2 linked regions of the Kluyveromyces lactis genome follow. The protein of the gene in region 1 purifies or fractionates together with the protein of each later gene. This does not show direct contact. Links are inferred from orthologs where the notes say so. Each region holds a gene or a part of one and is shown in the gene's direction. Other genes may lie near its edges.

Region 1 (7,564 bases):
CCCTAACACTGTAATAAGTAGTGTTTGAACGGGCTCTTATTAGATCCTGGAAAGTCCCAGCTTATATGTATGGCAGATCTGAGATGGAAAAGATAAGTTCAGACAGGATAGTTTTATTGCATATAAGTATGAAACGAACTTGGTAACAATGTCAACTATTATATACCGGGGTGAATATGAGCTGTGTTTTCACGATTATCCCTTTACTGGTCATTAACGCTACTAATAGTTAATGGTCAGAAATGTAAACTTGCACACATGGTTGAGTCTGATGTACAATTGTATGCTCTTTATATATTATCATTGTTTCCATTACCAATCCATTAGCTTTCTTATGGCCAAGGCGACATACTGTGGGAAACAATAACGTAAGCTACCTACTTACATCACTTACTACCTAAGTTTGAGTGTGGATCTCATGAAAAGGACCAAAGCAAAATGCCCCAGAACAAGTAGGGAATAAGTCAACACTGAGTGCAGTTTGAAAACTTTTCAGAAACCTGTACAATACGTCAATAGTTTTTGGATGGGCTCCATAATCATTCTCTATTAGTTTTCCTACTGCTGTGATTTATGTGTGCATGAAAAAGTGGCATTTCTTTATTTTCATTTCTTTATTTCAATACATTCAGACATTCCCCTTTTTTGGGACATACTAAGACTCTCAACCTAAATAGAAGGTTCAAAACCCGAAGTCAGACAAAGAATATCTCCTCTAGCAACTTTACCTACCAGTGACCCACCGGTGGGTCACCGGTTGATCGTTCGGAGAATGAAGCTCAGAATAATACCCAATCAAAATGGACGTTAGATCGGTTCTAATGGAAAAATCTCATTTTCCATTTTATTTCCTACATCGCAATAATACGTAACTTATGTCTGTGTGGCACGCTGTGACACTAAGATACAGATGATTATAAATATACTGTTTGTCTCAGAGGAGAATCAAGATTAATATATGCCCTGCTATGTATCAGTGTCATTCAGGCTACAGGATGGCAACATTTTGTCTTCGGATAGAACCACTAAAGCGCATTTCCTGGAAAAAGTGGTTTTCTTGGTAAAGAAAATAGTTCGATTGTCACCCGTCACATGACATGATATTGCATAGCATAGCATATCATTGCCTAATCCGAACTTGGCAGAGCAGGATACTGGGTTGCTGTATCCATTAGCTCATTCTTACTGCTTGCTGTTTCTTCGAGATGCCATCGTAGAGATGGCTGCTGTAATATTCCAACTTTTACAAAGCTGTCAGTCTTTTCTATTATGTAAGCCTGCTGTATTTGTGTGTACTGTTTTTTATTGTTCTCGAATTCGAGAAATGTCAAAAACCAGGACATATTAGGCACATAGATGAGATGTATGGAAGGGGCCTGATGTTACCTTTTCGGTCCGAAATAGAAGCATTTACTTTGTATCCATCTTCTTTCGATATGCACTATTAGCTGATAGCTTACTTAGTTAGGTGTCAGGGAAATTTAAGCAGTTCCATTTATTCACTAATGTTGACTCACAATAGACATGATTTTTTCACTCGAGAACTGCTGCAATGTGAAAGCGATCACTACATCCAAAAGAACACTAAACACATTGGAAGGGAGCATCAACCACCACTAGTAAACTGCTATATATATAATCGTTGTATTTACTATGGTCAGGGAAGAAACTTAAGGATTGTGTTTTTTACTTGATGCTGTATCAAAAGAATTGAACGTCGTCGTGATTGTATATATGATTTAAAAAGTTACGTAATGGAATTTAGTAAATAATCATCTATTGATTTGATCTTGAAGATTGTATATGTTTGTTGGAAGTGACTGTCTTCATTCAGAGGGACAGGACGGTAAAGAAAACATGTTTTCTAGGAGGTAGAGAAGGATATTATAAGGATCAAATTTCTTTTATTTGTTTTGTGTGGATAAAAAGATGTCATAATTTCCTTGATGTGATCATAACTTGGCTAACTTCTCGATAACAGCGTTGGTGAACTCAGAAGTGGAGGCTGAACCACCGATGTCTCTTGTTGTTGACTTACCTTCAGAAATGACATCATATGTAGCTTTGGAAATTCTATCAGCGTAAGCGTTCAAACCTAGATGTCTCAACATTAGAGTAGAGGACAAGATCATAGCAGTTGGGTTAGCAACGTTTTGACCCTTGATGTCCAAACCAACATGTCTGGAACCTGGTTCAAAGACAGCGTATTCTCTACCGAAGTTAGCACCTGGGACTAGACCGGGACCACCGATCAAAGCAGAACCAATGTTACCCAAGATAGAACCGTACAAGTTTGGTGTCACCAAAACATCGAATTGATGTGGCTTGGCAACAGCTTGCATGGAAGCGTTGTCAACGATGATGTTCTTGACATCGAGTTCTGGGTATTCGTTAGCACCAATTTCATTAACGGTGTTTCTGAACAAACCATCACCCAATTTCATGATGTTAGCTTTGTGAACAGCGCAGACCGACTTTCTGTTGTTTTTCAAGGCGAAATCAAAGGCGAATCTAGCAATTCTTTCTGACTTAGCCCTGGTCATGATCTTCAAAGATTCAACGACACCTGGAACAGATTCGTGTTCTAAACCAGAGTATTCACCTTCAGTGTTTTCTCTGATGATAACCATGTCGATGTTATTCAATCTAGTCTTGACACCTGGAATTGATTTGAACAAGGCGACATTGGCGAAAATATCCAGTTGCTTTCTCAAAGCAACGTTCAATGAGCCATGACCGGTTTGGTCGGCTGGAGTGTGCCAGATACCTTTCAAACCAACCTTGTTTCTCTTTAAAGATTCGACAGCTCTTTGTACATTTTCAGTGTTTTCTAGACCAGAAATGTCGATAGTTTCCCAGTCGATTGGAATATTTTCGTTTTCGAAGATCTTGACTACTGAGTCGGTCACTTCCTTACCAACACCATCACCTGGAATCAAAGTTACAGTGTAGCGACCACCGTACTTCTTTGGCAACAATTGTTCAGCTGCTAGGGTAGCGAAGGACTTTTTTTGAGCAGCAATACCTTGTCTCAACATTTTTTTCTATGTTCTTGTAATTTAGTATGTAATACCGGGAATATGAGGGGTTTTAAGTTAAAATAAAAGAGCAATTAACTCGGAAATGAGAAAACCTATTGATCTGATATAATGACTATTGTTTTAAGCTTAATATAATTCGAAAAGAAGGGCACTTCAAATTATATCTGGAATATTGTTTCTTAGTGGAGAAGGGAATTTAAAATAAACACAAAACCTTTAGAAAAAAAGAAAACGAATAGAAATGATAGTTATAACACTAATGGCAGATCCGCTAGTTGTTCAGGCAATTGAATTGGCTTTCTTCACTGATCTTTTACAGTGTTCCTTTTCAGTTGTTGATGTAAAATGAAAGCGGTTGTGATTCAAGGTTTTTAAATCTCTCTGGACAATTTCCATATTTTGTATTTATATACTTATCATGCCAATTTCTAACAAAATTTAGGTCACATTTGATTCCCCTGTGTTCAAGTTGGAAAGTCGGTCCCGCTGCAGTATAATAACAGTCGCGATCATGTGACCTGGGTTCCGTTCTCGGCATTGAGTCAGTCAAAAAACGAACAAGAGGAAAATAAAGAAAAGTGACAAAAAAAAAACACGAATCATTACCCGGAATGAAATATATCTTCAGATTTACAGAAGAAACGTGAAAAAGGTTTCACGTGATCTGGATCGACAGTTAAAGAGAGATTTGACTGTTGAAAAATGTTTCGATGAGTTCTGTATTAGATTGGTGATTCTAGCATGTTATGAGAGTACTCTGCCTTGACATATTATAATAGGCATTATAGGATATCTCCACTTATCATTATCTCACAGAGCAGTGATAATATAGAATATATTAAGGATCATACAATGAGTGAGCTAACGTTATCGACATATAAGTCACTATTGAGATCACTTGTCCGTAGTGCGAAGCACAATAAAATCCAACAACTACAGCAAGATACAAAGAAACAAATAGCCTTATTGACATACAATAGGATCCAATTAGTGAGACAACAGCAGGAGAAGGGCCTAGATGCAATGGCAAGAAGCAAGGTATTAAAACAGCTCAGTGCGGTTGGAAAAAAAATTGAAATTTTGAAGACTAAGGACCCATTGAAATCTAAAGAGCTATTATTTTACAGCCATAGCAAACATCTCAAAGATATTGTTCTATCGCTGAAAGATGACCCGCGTTCTCTTCAACATTTGAAAGATATTGCGGCCTTTGTTGTCAATCAAAGTGAATACGAGCAGTTGATCGAAAGATATAATCCAGGATTGAAAATGTCACAAGAGGAAAAAGTTCAAAAGACTGCTAACAAGGTAGGTCTACAAGTTCCTGAGTAATAGCAACACGGTCAAGTTTAACCATACTGCTGTTGGAAAAGCTTTTTAGAGACGGTCAATAAATGTAAATATTCTCGTATTAAGCTTGTGTTTTTTTATAGATGTTTTAATAGTCAATAATGCAACGATCAATGAACTTAGGATTCAGTACTTTTCTTTGTTAAGTAAAGCAGATACAAGTAGCAGCTAAAATTTATCATTATCAAAGTATTTATTCAACCTATATACTTTTCATTAACAACTTGCCCCTTTACATTTTATTCGAAAGAGTGATTCCATGTCTTATATGGCAATAGGATGGATGAATCGATCGACAATTTCCCTCCAGCGAAGTGCATTGCTGAAAGTACCGTAAGACCATGTCAAATTTGGAGCCCCTTGGTTGTATCCATGATATTTGTTGAACTGTTCGCTCATCGATCCGTCGTTACTTACATGCTCGTTAACTTTGCTTAGGAATGAATCACCGTATTTGAATATTGTGTACAACGTTTGGTTGAACGCTAATGTATTATATGGTATCAAGATCAGCGAATCCTTCATATTCCCAAATTCGAAGAATTTAGTCCAGAACTTGTTCGATATCGGATCAATGAGTAAAGGTTTCTCATCGTGATACATTTTATTGACTAATTTGTAAATCAATTCGGCAGAGGTTAACGTTGAGATAAACCAGGGATTACCTTCAGAGATGTCAATTCCATCATAAATATCCTCTGGATATCTCCCAATGGCAACTCCCATGTTTGTATTAAGTCTGTTGTGATTGATCGGGTAAAGTACTGCCATTCTCTCAATTAGTTCATTGAAATGATTCAATATGAAAGGATCATCAATATCAAACAAGAAGGAATCATAAACGGTGTTCATATCTTTTATAGAATCATCATGTGTCAAGGTGCTTGCCATGATCACAGCAATGTCTAAACCTGACCTTTCATCCAAAATACTGGGGGTTTCCACAATGTAACCCTTTTCATGATTTATAAACCCTGAATTGGCATCGATGATAAAATCCTCAATTTTGTCTATACAAGTCTCAATATCCTTCAATAGTATAGTCAACTGCTTGCTCAATTTTACACCTTTTGCTTCCGACGTTAAAAGATATCTCTTACCTTCTACTAGCGCCTTCAATTGAACCATACTAGTAAAAAAATGATAAGCACGCACTTCTTCCCATAGGTCATACGTTGGAATATGCCAATTATATAACACAAACTTCAAATCTAAGGCAATTACCTCATCAAATATCCAATTGTATTTCTCGGTTTCCCCATCGTCTACCTGGTTCAAGAAGTTCAACAATGCAATAGCTCTTAATGGTGGGCCATCATTCTGTGGTCTGCCCCAGACAAGTTCATAAGCGCTGTTATCAACATGATATTTTGGTTCTCCCAAATTTCTGAACAAAGGATCATCAGCTGGCCCACTGGGATTAGATTTATGTTGTAAATCCAAAGATGCGTTCACGTAATCCAAGACTGTCTCAAGAGTCCGTTCCCTATCAATATCAAGATACGTATTAATTAAAGTGTTTATGGTGATGGCACCATCTCTAATCCAATGATAGAAATAATCTGGTTTGTTCTTGGAAGGAGACGCAAAGACAACACCAGGAGTACAATTATCAAATTTATCTGATGTTTCTGCATGACAAATGTTTTCGAACATATGATAGAAGGAAATCTCCGTTTGTTCTTCCAACCATTTATTGAAATCATTCCTTGAAATGTTCTTCGAGACTGGGATTGGTTGCAATTTGAATTCAGATATCCTATTGAAATCTGACACTTCAATTAGTGGAGATGACCTTGATAAAGGGCACTCTATACTGTGATTCGCATTGTGATTCCCAGCTTGAAATGGTGATAAAAGGAAATAGTATGCTAATAACGAAGAAATGCAAACGAAGGACAGAAAATAATGTGAGTGCTTAGGTATTCTCGGTTTTCTTGAGCTTTTACTTAGCATCGTATTAGGGTTATTCATGATGCAAGCAAAACAAAAAAAAGGCAAAATTAGATGTCTGATCTATCACAGAAATATAATAATCTTCGAGCCAGTAGCGATACAAGACACTCTAATTGAAGTTTCAGTAACTATATTGGCAACTTATTTCGTTTCTATCCTACTGATCTCATTAATATCGATACTTTTGATACAGCAACAAGTATAACAATTGCAGATATATCACACAAAAAAATGGGAAATTTAAATAGCCAGGAAAAAAAAAACCAGACAGAAATCGAATAAGCTAGATTGTGTCACCTTCGAGTGACACAATAACAGATGTGACTTCTCCGAGAACTTGTAAATATAATTTTTCTTCAAATTTCTGTCCGCAGTTCCTAGATCGCGTTTTTGTGTTATCTCAAAAGTTGAGATGTCTTGCTTGAATCCTTTTTTTTTCAATCCCATGCCCTCCCCTAAAAATGAAATACTACATTATTGGTATTGGGACAAAAGAGAGTTGTTACCCGTCTTTTGGTCACTAGGTTAGTATTGACTTTTGCGGAAAGGAAAAACTGGAAAAAAAAAACCAGTCTAGTCCCAAGTCGCAAGTCACGTGAAAGTGGTGTTACTCGTAAATATGACAACGCCCAAAATTATGCTCTCAGCGTTTCCATCAACCAAAGATACGCACGCCAAAACACTCATATAATCATGATTGCCGCCTATTTATGATGTGTTTTCTGTAACTTCAAGAACTTCTCTTCGAAAAGTGGCGACCTTCACTGCCTGTAGCCACAGCGAAATAACAGCCGCATCCCCCGCCTCCTAGCTGGGTTGGCTTGGAATCATTTTTATGCGAGTGTATTGTTCCGATTAACCGGATACAGACGTATTCCTCACATCTCCCACTTTTAGTGCAAACTAAACCTGGCGTATATTCGGGTAACGCACCGGATATTCTCTCCACTTACCGTCCTACAAACTTTTTTTTTCTGATCTCACGTTCCATCTCTGTGTAAGGTTGACGTCAACAATTATCACTATTCCATCATGTTGGAAAAACGGAAAAAGAAAATACTGTTGATGTCGGTCAGTACTGACGCCACTAAGAATATTGCAGACAATTGCAGAAGGAAGGGGACTTCGAGCGTGATAATTTGTGATTACTATTATCTCGAGCCTTTTTTTTTCCAGCGTAGCACCAATCATTGGCTATAGATAGGTTTCTCCTCTAC
Region 2 (8,040 bases), on another chromosome or scaffold:
ATCTGCACTTGAAACGCAGACTTATAAATCGGAATTAGAGACATTGAGACGCAAGTTAACGAACTACTCAGATTATGAAAAAATAAAGCAAGAATTGAATGCCATGAAGAAGATTGAATTCGGAACCAGTGATGACAGTGACAACGAAAACGATGATGGTGATGACTCTATCACCAGTTCATTGAAACATGCGAACCAAAAACTCCAAAATAATTTGGTGAAGGCCAATACTGAAAAGAACAAATATATGAACGAAACCCAAACGCTCAAGAAAAGCATAGAAGCTTTATATTCTAAGATTCAAAATCTAGAAACTTTGAATGCGAAATTAGAAGCAGACATTGAGAAGGTCGAAGATGTAACGAACCAATTCTCCGATACACAATCAATGATGTCAGGGGCAACAAGGCAAATAAGTAATAGACATGCCACTAACGAAAAACTATCTCCTACAAGCTCAATCATTGGAATACCAGAAGAAAAAGAACTAGATACCTTCTCCGGCAATTTTAACGGCTCTCCATCTATCCTACCAATTGTCACCAAACAGAGAGACAGATTCCGCTCAAGAAATCTAGAGCTTGAAAGGCAAATAAAGCATTGTAACCAAGAACAGACGAAACTTAAGGTACAAGTGAAGGAATTAAAGGCCGATAATTCCAAATTGTACGAGAAGGCAAAGCTACTAAGTTCGTATTCGAACAATTCCGCAGTGCGCAATACAGTAGATTTGGAATCTCCATTTTCCGAAGAATATGAGGAGTCATTACATCCATTATCTAGTTTCAAAGAAAGAGAGCTAGAAAGATACGAACGACGTAAGATGCCACCCTTGGAAAGACTATTCTTGAGTTTTGCAAAAGTTATTCTAGCGAACAAACAGACAAGAATGCTATTCATGTTGTATTGCCTTGGATTACATGGATTGGTGATGGTGATGACTATATATGTCACAAGTTTCACCAACTACATAACTCCAGACGTTAGCTCCTCATCAGGTAGTATGATTAACACCAATCAGTGAGATACAGTGGTCATTCTTTTTTGTATAATTTCCGTTTATAGTTAATTATGAAAACAGGTAAATCGTTCACAGGAATGTCTCCTGGACTGGCAAATACCTTACAATGAATTAGGTGAAGTATTCTTTTGGGAACGTATGTTGACTGATTAAATTAGTATACTCAGAGGTTTGTGTAAAAAATTACTTAAATGTTATGATATTTATTTGAGAAAATGTTTGGATGGGAAGATCCAGGAAATTTAAGCAGTGATTCTCTTTTGAGTAGCCAATCTACCTCTTTGTCTGGAGGACAATCTAGCAACCTTCTTTTCAGAAGCCTTTTCAACAGCTTCTTCCTTTTCAGTAACGACCAATTCGATGTGAGATGGAGAAGATTCGTATTTGTTAATTCTACCGTGAGCTCTGAAGGTTCTTCTTCTTTGCTTTGGAGCTTGGTTAACTTGAATGTGAGAGACGTACAATCTGGTAGCGTCTAAACCCTTAGCCTGTGGAAATGATTAATTGAAATTACAACGGATGTAATTTTTGATAAAATTTGTTAGTAAAAGTTTCATTTAATTTGGTATAGTGGGGAGAATAAGCTGTTAGAAGTTAGTTTGCTGAGAATGGAATATCTTGATTCTGGTGGTTCACATTTTAGTAGCTCAGGTTATGATTATTCCATGATCATAATTTCTGATGAGTTGTCTAGTTCTGCAATATCATATCTTGTCTTGTACTGGCTCATTTCTGTACATCGTTCTATTTTGTATCGGTCTCATTTGTTCATATATATGCCATCGTTTTCGCCCCACGTATTCATTCTTCCAACATATCCATCGACTCATCCCACTAATTCGTACATCACAGGGCCTACACCCTATGTGTTTCACAATATCAAATGTTATAACATACTTCAGCGTTAGAGGCAGCGTTTTGCAACAAACCTTGGACGAACTTGACAGACTTAGCTGGCCATCTAGCCTTGGTGACACCGAATTCCTTACCTTGGGCAGTTCTACCAATAGAAGAGTTGAATCTTCTGAATGGAATAGCTCTTTGGTGATCCAAAACTTGGTCCAAGTACTTTTGAGCCTTTTGTAAATTCCAACCACTGATAGCTTGAGCAGTTTCTCTGGTGTTCTTGTAAGAAACACGCAAGTAGGAACCACGAGCAGAAGCAGACTTAGCTGGGTTAGTGGAAGTAGCACCGTATCTAGCCATTGTGTATCACTCTGTTTGAAGGTCTTAGTTCTCGGTCCTGTATCAAAACACTAATTAACACGTCTAAACCACTACTCTTTAATATATGGTAACAATGTATATATGCTATATTATCGTATATTCTTTATTCACAATATTTCCAAATTTCCAAACCTGTAAATTGATTCTCACGGTGTGGCAGGCGGGTTTCCGTCTGGGAATGAAAAATTGGAAAGGTGAGAGCCAGCGTGGAGGAATTGCTGCTAGGCAGGAGTTCTGCCTACCGCAACGGGAGACTAGGCAGAGACAAGCAAACCGTAGCAGGAGGAGGCGCCAGAGCAGCGAGGGACCTGGAGTTAGAGTGAGCCCATGGCCAACGTCCGGCGCATCATTGAGTGTAAGACTGATGCCGGTGAATGTGATAGGGGGAGCATGGTAGGTTGAGGAACCGCCTGGGTTGCTGAAACTTACCACTCTGGAGCCGGGACCGGTGTGGTTAGTGGGAGGACTGTGCAGAGAGAGGCCCGCCCTGAGATTTCCGTCCTTCTGCCTAGCTGCATACAACCTCAGCTGTTCAACGAATGAAAAATGAAAAATAAACTTGTCACCTAATTAGGATGTTTATATTATAGAGAATAAAGAAGGAGATTTATGGGTGTTAAATATCGCATGTAAAAGGATGCACGGGCTTAAACAGTCACAAGATGGATATTTACCCGGCCACATATATTTCCCCTAAGCTAATGACATTTATCAGATAGGATTAGCATTAATATACAACGAGTTCTTTACATTTCCATTTGAACCATAACTACTTTTGAAGCCCTATGTTGTCTACATCAGGTATCCAAGCAAGGTAACTACGCAAATAATTAAGTGCTGAGTACATACAGTGCCCTTTGAAAAGTCGCCTCTTCTCAAGATTTCGCTCTAATAAGAGTTTATTGTTGTCTCAGGGGAGTTATATATACCGAAAACGGGTTTATTGAATAATTCCAAAGGAAACTACGCAAAACTATACATACACGCCATGAAAGTGCTACTAGCAACCGCTTTAGTATCGCTTTTGCCATTTTCTTCAGCGGTAGAGTGCTCTAAAAACGAAATCCTCAACAAATATAGAGTCAATGAGTTTTCCATAGGCGGTGTTTCTGTACAGGATACACCACCAAGTGAGACTAAAGAGAGTTGGTGGTTGAATATTTGTGATGAACATGATTCCAAATCGTCCATACCTGACCAATGTAATGTGAAGGATATTTTTTGTGGCGTTACATCTGTTGCATTACCGGGGAAAGAATCAATTGTCACCAAAGTGATGGATTTCACCAGTTCTGTGGCCCTTGAAGTGAAAGAAACCGCGGAAGCATTGTCTATAAGGCTTTCTGGTGCCGCCTGGGGGTCTCATATCTTGAATGCTGATATATATCTACAATGCCAGGAGAAAGGTTCGGGTTCTTTAACGGAATCCAGCTGGACCGATGATCAAAATGTGAAACTAGTGTTCTCTGGTCCATTTGGTTGTTTGAAAAAGGGAAATGACAATAAAGATGGCAACGGAGACGACGATAACAATGATAAGGATGGTGATGACTCCGATAAGAAGCCTCACGATGGTGATAAAAATGGATCCAAACCAAAGGGCGGAGCTGGTCTTGGGTCGTGGCTCGTATGGCTATTCATGTATGCAACTATCTTTGCCCTTATTTATCTCGTGGTTACTTCGTATATGAACACTAGAAACGGTTCCTTTAACGATTTCCGGGAAGAGTTCGTTGATAGATCGACTACGTTCGCTACCAATCTCCCACAATTCGCTAAAGAAGTGGCAGGGAAAATCGTAAATAGTGGTTCATCGTCTCAAAGAGGCGGATACAGTGCGGTTTGATCGAATGTACCTCCTCCTTGACGTGCGATGAATAAAGACCACATGTATTCTGAAATAGAGAATTCTTAATGTACAACTATATATAACATTACCACTGCTAAATACTTTAACTCTATTCTATGATGAATACGACTTTTAAGGGTACTATCTTCCCACATTGCTTGACCCATACAAAAACCCCTGTCGATGCCGACTCAGTAGTTGATTTAATTTCCAATGACTCTTCTCAAACTCTCTACCGTGTTATCGACTGTGGTCTGTAGGTAATGTCTCTTTTGTTCCAATGCCTTTATCTGTTCGTCCAATATTCTTTCATCATGGTTTAAATCAGCAGTGTAGGCTTGCTTCTCTTGACGGATGAACATCTTACCACAAGATCTCCACACTTGCTCATTTCCATAATTTCCCAATTCCTTTTCAGTCAACTTAGCAATCTTTTTTTGCCTCTGTAGTTGTTCCAGTTGTGCAAGCGTCATATCCAATTGTGATCTGCTGTTACGAAGAGAATTTGCCATCTCCTTTACTATATCTTGCGGTTGAGAGCTCATTTTGTCAAATTTGTGTAATTGAGTATCAAATTCTTTGCACTATGCCTCACAGATCTAGATTGACTACTGCAAAGCCAGCGTATGACTCTTACATTTCAATAGTTTCCATATCATCATGCTTAAAGCTTTAAATTTCAGATCGTGGAAACTTTATAATTTTATTTTTTGAATCATTATAGTAGTGAATAAGTACAAGATGCCCGAATAGAAATGAAAAAAAGGTTGGACCAAGTTCTCCAAAGCCCTTGGTTCAATTTACATCCAGTGATACTTAACAAGAATTGTTTGCAAATATGTTAAGATTGAGCAGGCCATTTCGTTTGGTTTCGCCAACTGTTTTATCACGAGTCAGATGTTATGCACAAGCTTCTCCATTAGGTGTGGATCACAGTATCGAGAATAATTTACAAACAGAGACTAATAGATTGTCCAAGACTTTGACTAAGTTTTGGGAACAAGTGAGTTTAGAAGAAACCCCCGAAAATGTTACCATTAAATTGGATTCTAAGCCTTTGCGTACTCCTTTGGGGAACCCTTTAACTTTACCACAATCTCGTAAGCTTTTATCGGTTATGGTTCTCAATGAATGGAGTAATCTTCCTAGTTTATCTGTCAAGCCTTATGTTTTACCTTTAACCTCTTTAGTTTCCCGTTGCATTGATTTGGAAAAGGCCAATGAGGACGGTGTAGACCCAGAACTTGTTGCGAAGATAGGTGGGAACAGAGAAAAGTTAACTGAAGGTCTTTTGAGATATTTAGATACTGATACTCTATTAGTGTTTTCTCCAGCAAATGAATACGAAGGTGCGCTAAGAAAGGCTCAAGATGAATTGTATCTACCGATAATTTCCGGTGTCGAAAAGTTCCTATCTCAAATAAATAAAGATAAGAAAGAAGTCAAATTACAAATATTGGACGCTGATTTACATGGATTGAGAGGTAACGCCCAAAGTGGAGAGACCAGAGAAGTAGCTAAACAGTATTTGGATTCTTTATCTGTTTGGGATTTAGCCATTTTCGAGAAGACTGTCCTAACAACAAAATCCTTTATTTGCGGTCTATTATTGCTATTGAATAAATCGGCAACTGTCACAAATATTCCTGAGTTACAAGTTTCCATGGAAGATATTGCAAGAGCAGCTACCCTCGAGACTATTTACCAAGTTGAAAGATGGGGTGAAGTTGAAGATACCCATGATGTCGATAAACGTGATGTAAGAAGAAACATCCATGCAGCTGCGATTGTTGCATTCGGCCCACCAACCTCGTCGAAATAGATGATAACAATCAAGAATAAATTAAAACTATACTTACTGTACATATGATTAATAAAGAAAGTTTATAACTAAGAGTTTGGGAATTCAAAGGTAATATTCAGACACATCACAAGTGTTTCGTATTTACAGAGCACCTAGCAATTTATAGGTCTCGTCAGCTACATTTTGATTTTTGAACTCTACTAGACGTTCTCCAGCTGAGATACCAGTCCTTCCAATTCTCTTCAGGTCCGATATGGATGAAATGAACGACTCGGTGTCATCCATCTCAAATTTACATCCAGCAACTGATCCATTATATTCTCTAGAGTAAACATTCAACAATCCAACTTTAGTCATCTTCCATCCGTATTGCTGGTCATATTTATGTAATCGCACCTTAATTTTTGATAATAACAGCAGTGATTTACAATCTTTACTGGAATCTAGTACTTGCGGTTTCGACCAACCATGTGATAAATCGTTCGAAGCAGTACTGGACCTGCTAAATGACATATTTGAAACGTTATTACTCAAAATTGATGATGAATTGGACCCCAAGGTCAGCTGTGTTGCAGAATTTGACATGTTGTTGCTTGAGGTTAAAATCACTTCGTTCTTTTTGCAGTGTTTAAGCAAATTGGCAATGTTATCTACCTGAGGACATCTCACTGAAAGCAAGGTTGGAACTGGCTCCGCGACAGAAGCCACAACGTCGGTTGGTGGGAATCTAATTTGAATGTCTTGAGCAGTAGTTCTTGAAATTGTCCATCTCTCACCAATGGCAATACAAAGCTTTAAGTTAGAGTTGTCATCTTGTACCACGAACATGTATCTGCCTTGGTTGGAATTGACGACCTGCAATTGTAACCAACTTGAGGAGAAAAATCTCCATGAATTGTTTCTCCATTGCGATAATTTAACAAGGGTGTCAAGAAGGACGTTATTTGTGTCCAACTTAACGCTGGAAGGTAGTTTGCAAGTTGAAGGAGATAAAGTACTTGAAGATTTTGAAGATTTTGAAGATTTTGACGTAGAAGACGGTGTTGATGCATGCGAAGACATTGCTGACTCTGGAGGGTGTATGCTTTTTGTGTCTGAAAGTTTTGCCAAGCTATCAGTACTATTCTTTTGACTTTTTGATTTGTCTTTCTTGAATAGATTCAAGAAAGACGATGACTTCCGTTTAGTCAATTGAGGTTTGTGAAATTCAGCCGAAAGATTAAAGACTGGGGACCCTCCTAGACTCCCTTCGTTATTAATTCCATCATCATCAGAAATGATGCTATCAATATCGTCAACTCGGCTCCCAATTACGGGACTCATTTGTTCTATGATATTTGAGGGTTCTTGGATGTGTCTAATATTGGTGGGAACCGGTGATTTCATGGAACTATTCATGGTTGAGGCATCGGTACTGTCATTCAACTCCATAAGTTTCTTCATGTTCAGTGACTCTATTTCTGATATAGACAGTGCTTCTGAAGCCAACGGTTTAGATTTTCTTAGGCCAGTGTCGAGGTTTGTCCTCACTTCTGACTTCTTCAGACTGATACCTAAGCCACGAGTACCTGCAGAGGTTATTGTATCTTTATTGATTGGACTTCCAAAAGTACTTTCATTTCTATCACTTAGGAAAGCTTTAGGTGAGTCTGCTACTGCGCACAGAGACTGCACAAAAGGCCTCCAATGTTGGGACCAGGCCAACGTGTCATATGGGGTTAAAGCCAAGGTAACACCATTTCCTGTCTTCGTTTCTAAGAGAATTGACTTTCTTGATTCGTCAGCAATTCGTAGATCCATGGGTCTTATTGTTGGGAATAACAACGTCCTACCAATTTGAAATAGAGGGTCTTGATATGCTCCCATATCTATATTTCTTGTCAATCGCAGAAGTAATTCATGGGTTTGTTCATTGGTGTATAAGGGCAAAGTCTGGGTGTTAACCTTAAATATAGCCATGTTCCCATTATCTAAATGAAACAGTTCAACGCATAAATTCTCATAACGTAACTTGTCACACGTTATTTTGAAATAGTCTCTTTTAATGACGCTTTCCAAATTGAACAATGGAGGAGCAACGAAATCATGTGCATGAGATAACAAATCTTTCACCTGGTCAAATAACAAGCTTTCACATTG

What was found.
Region 2: the proteins of FMC1 (region 1) and ATP12 purify together in Saccharomyces cerevisiae (affinity purification with mass spectrometry, with the first as the bait; 3 studies listed by BioGRID). This does not show direct contact. The link is inferred for Kluyveromyces lactis from reciprocal best matches to the Saccharomyces cerevisiae genes FMC1 and ATP12.

Annotation. Positions count from the first base shown.
Region 1 is NC_006042.1:384,633-392,196, reverse strand, and holds FMC1 (Fmc1p), read left to right. Parts: upstream 1-3,893; coding exon 3,894-4,373; downstream 4,374-7,564. Other genes in the region: isocitrate dehydrogenase (NAD(+)) IDH1, read right to left, coding at 1,953-3,038; SGA1 (glucan 1,4-alpha-glucosidase), read right to left, coding at 4,656-6,365. UniProt on the Saccharomyces cerevisiae protein: Needed for the assembly of the mitochondrial F1-F0 complex at high temperature.
Region 2 is NC_006037.1:571,074-579,113, reverse strand, and holds ATP12 (ATP synthase complex assembly protein ATP12), read left to right. Parts: upstream 1-4,935; coding exon 4,936-5,919; downstream 5,920-8,040. Other genes in the region: CCAAT displacement transcription factor COY1, read left to right, coding at 1-1,024; KLLA0_A06336g (60S ribosomal protein uL22), read right to left, coding at 1,264-1,509, 1,919-2,227; ATG27 (Atg27p), read left to right, coding at 3,237-4,094; PFD1 (prefolding complex chaperone subunit), read right to left, coding at 4,301-4,642; RBH1 (Rbh1p), read right to left, coding at 6,043-8,040. UniProt on the Saccharomyces cerevisiae protein: Essential for the assembly of the mitochondrial F1-F0 complex.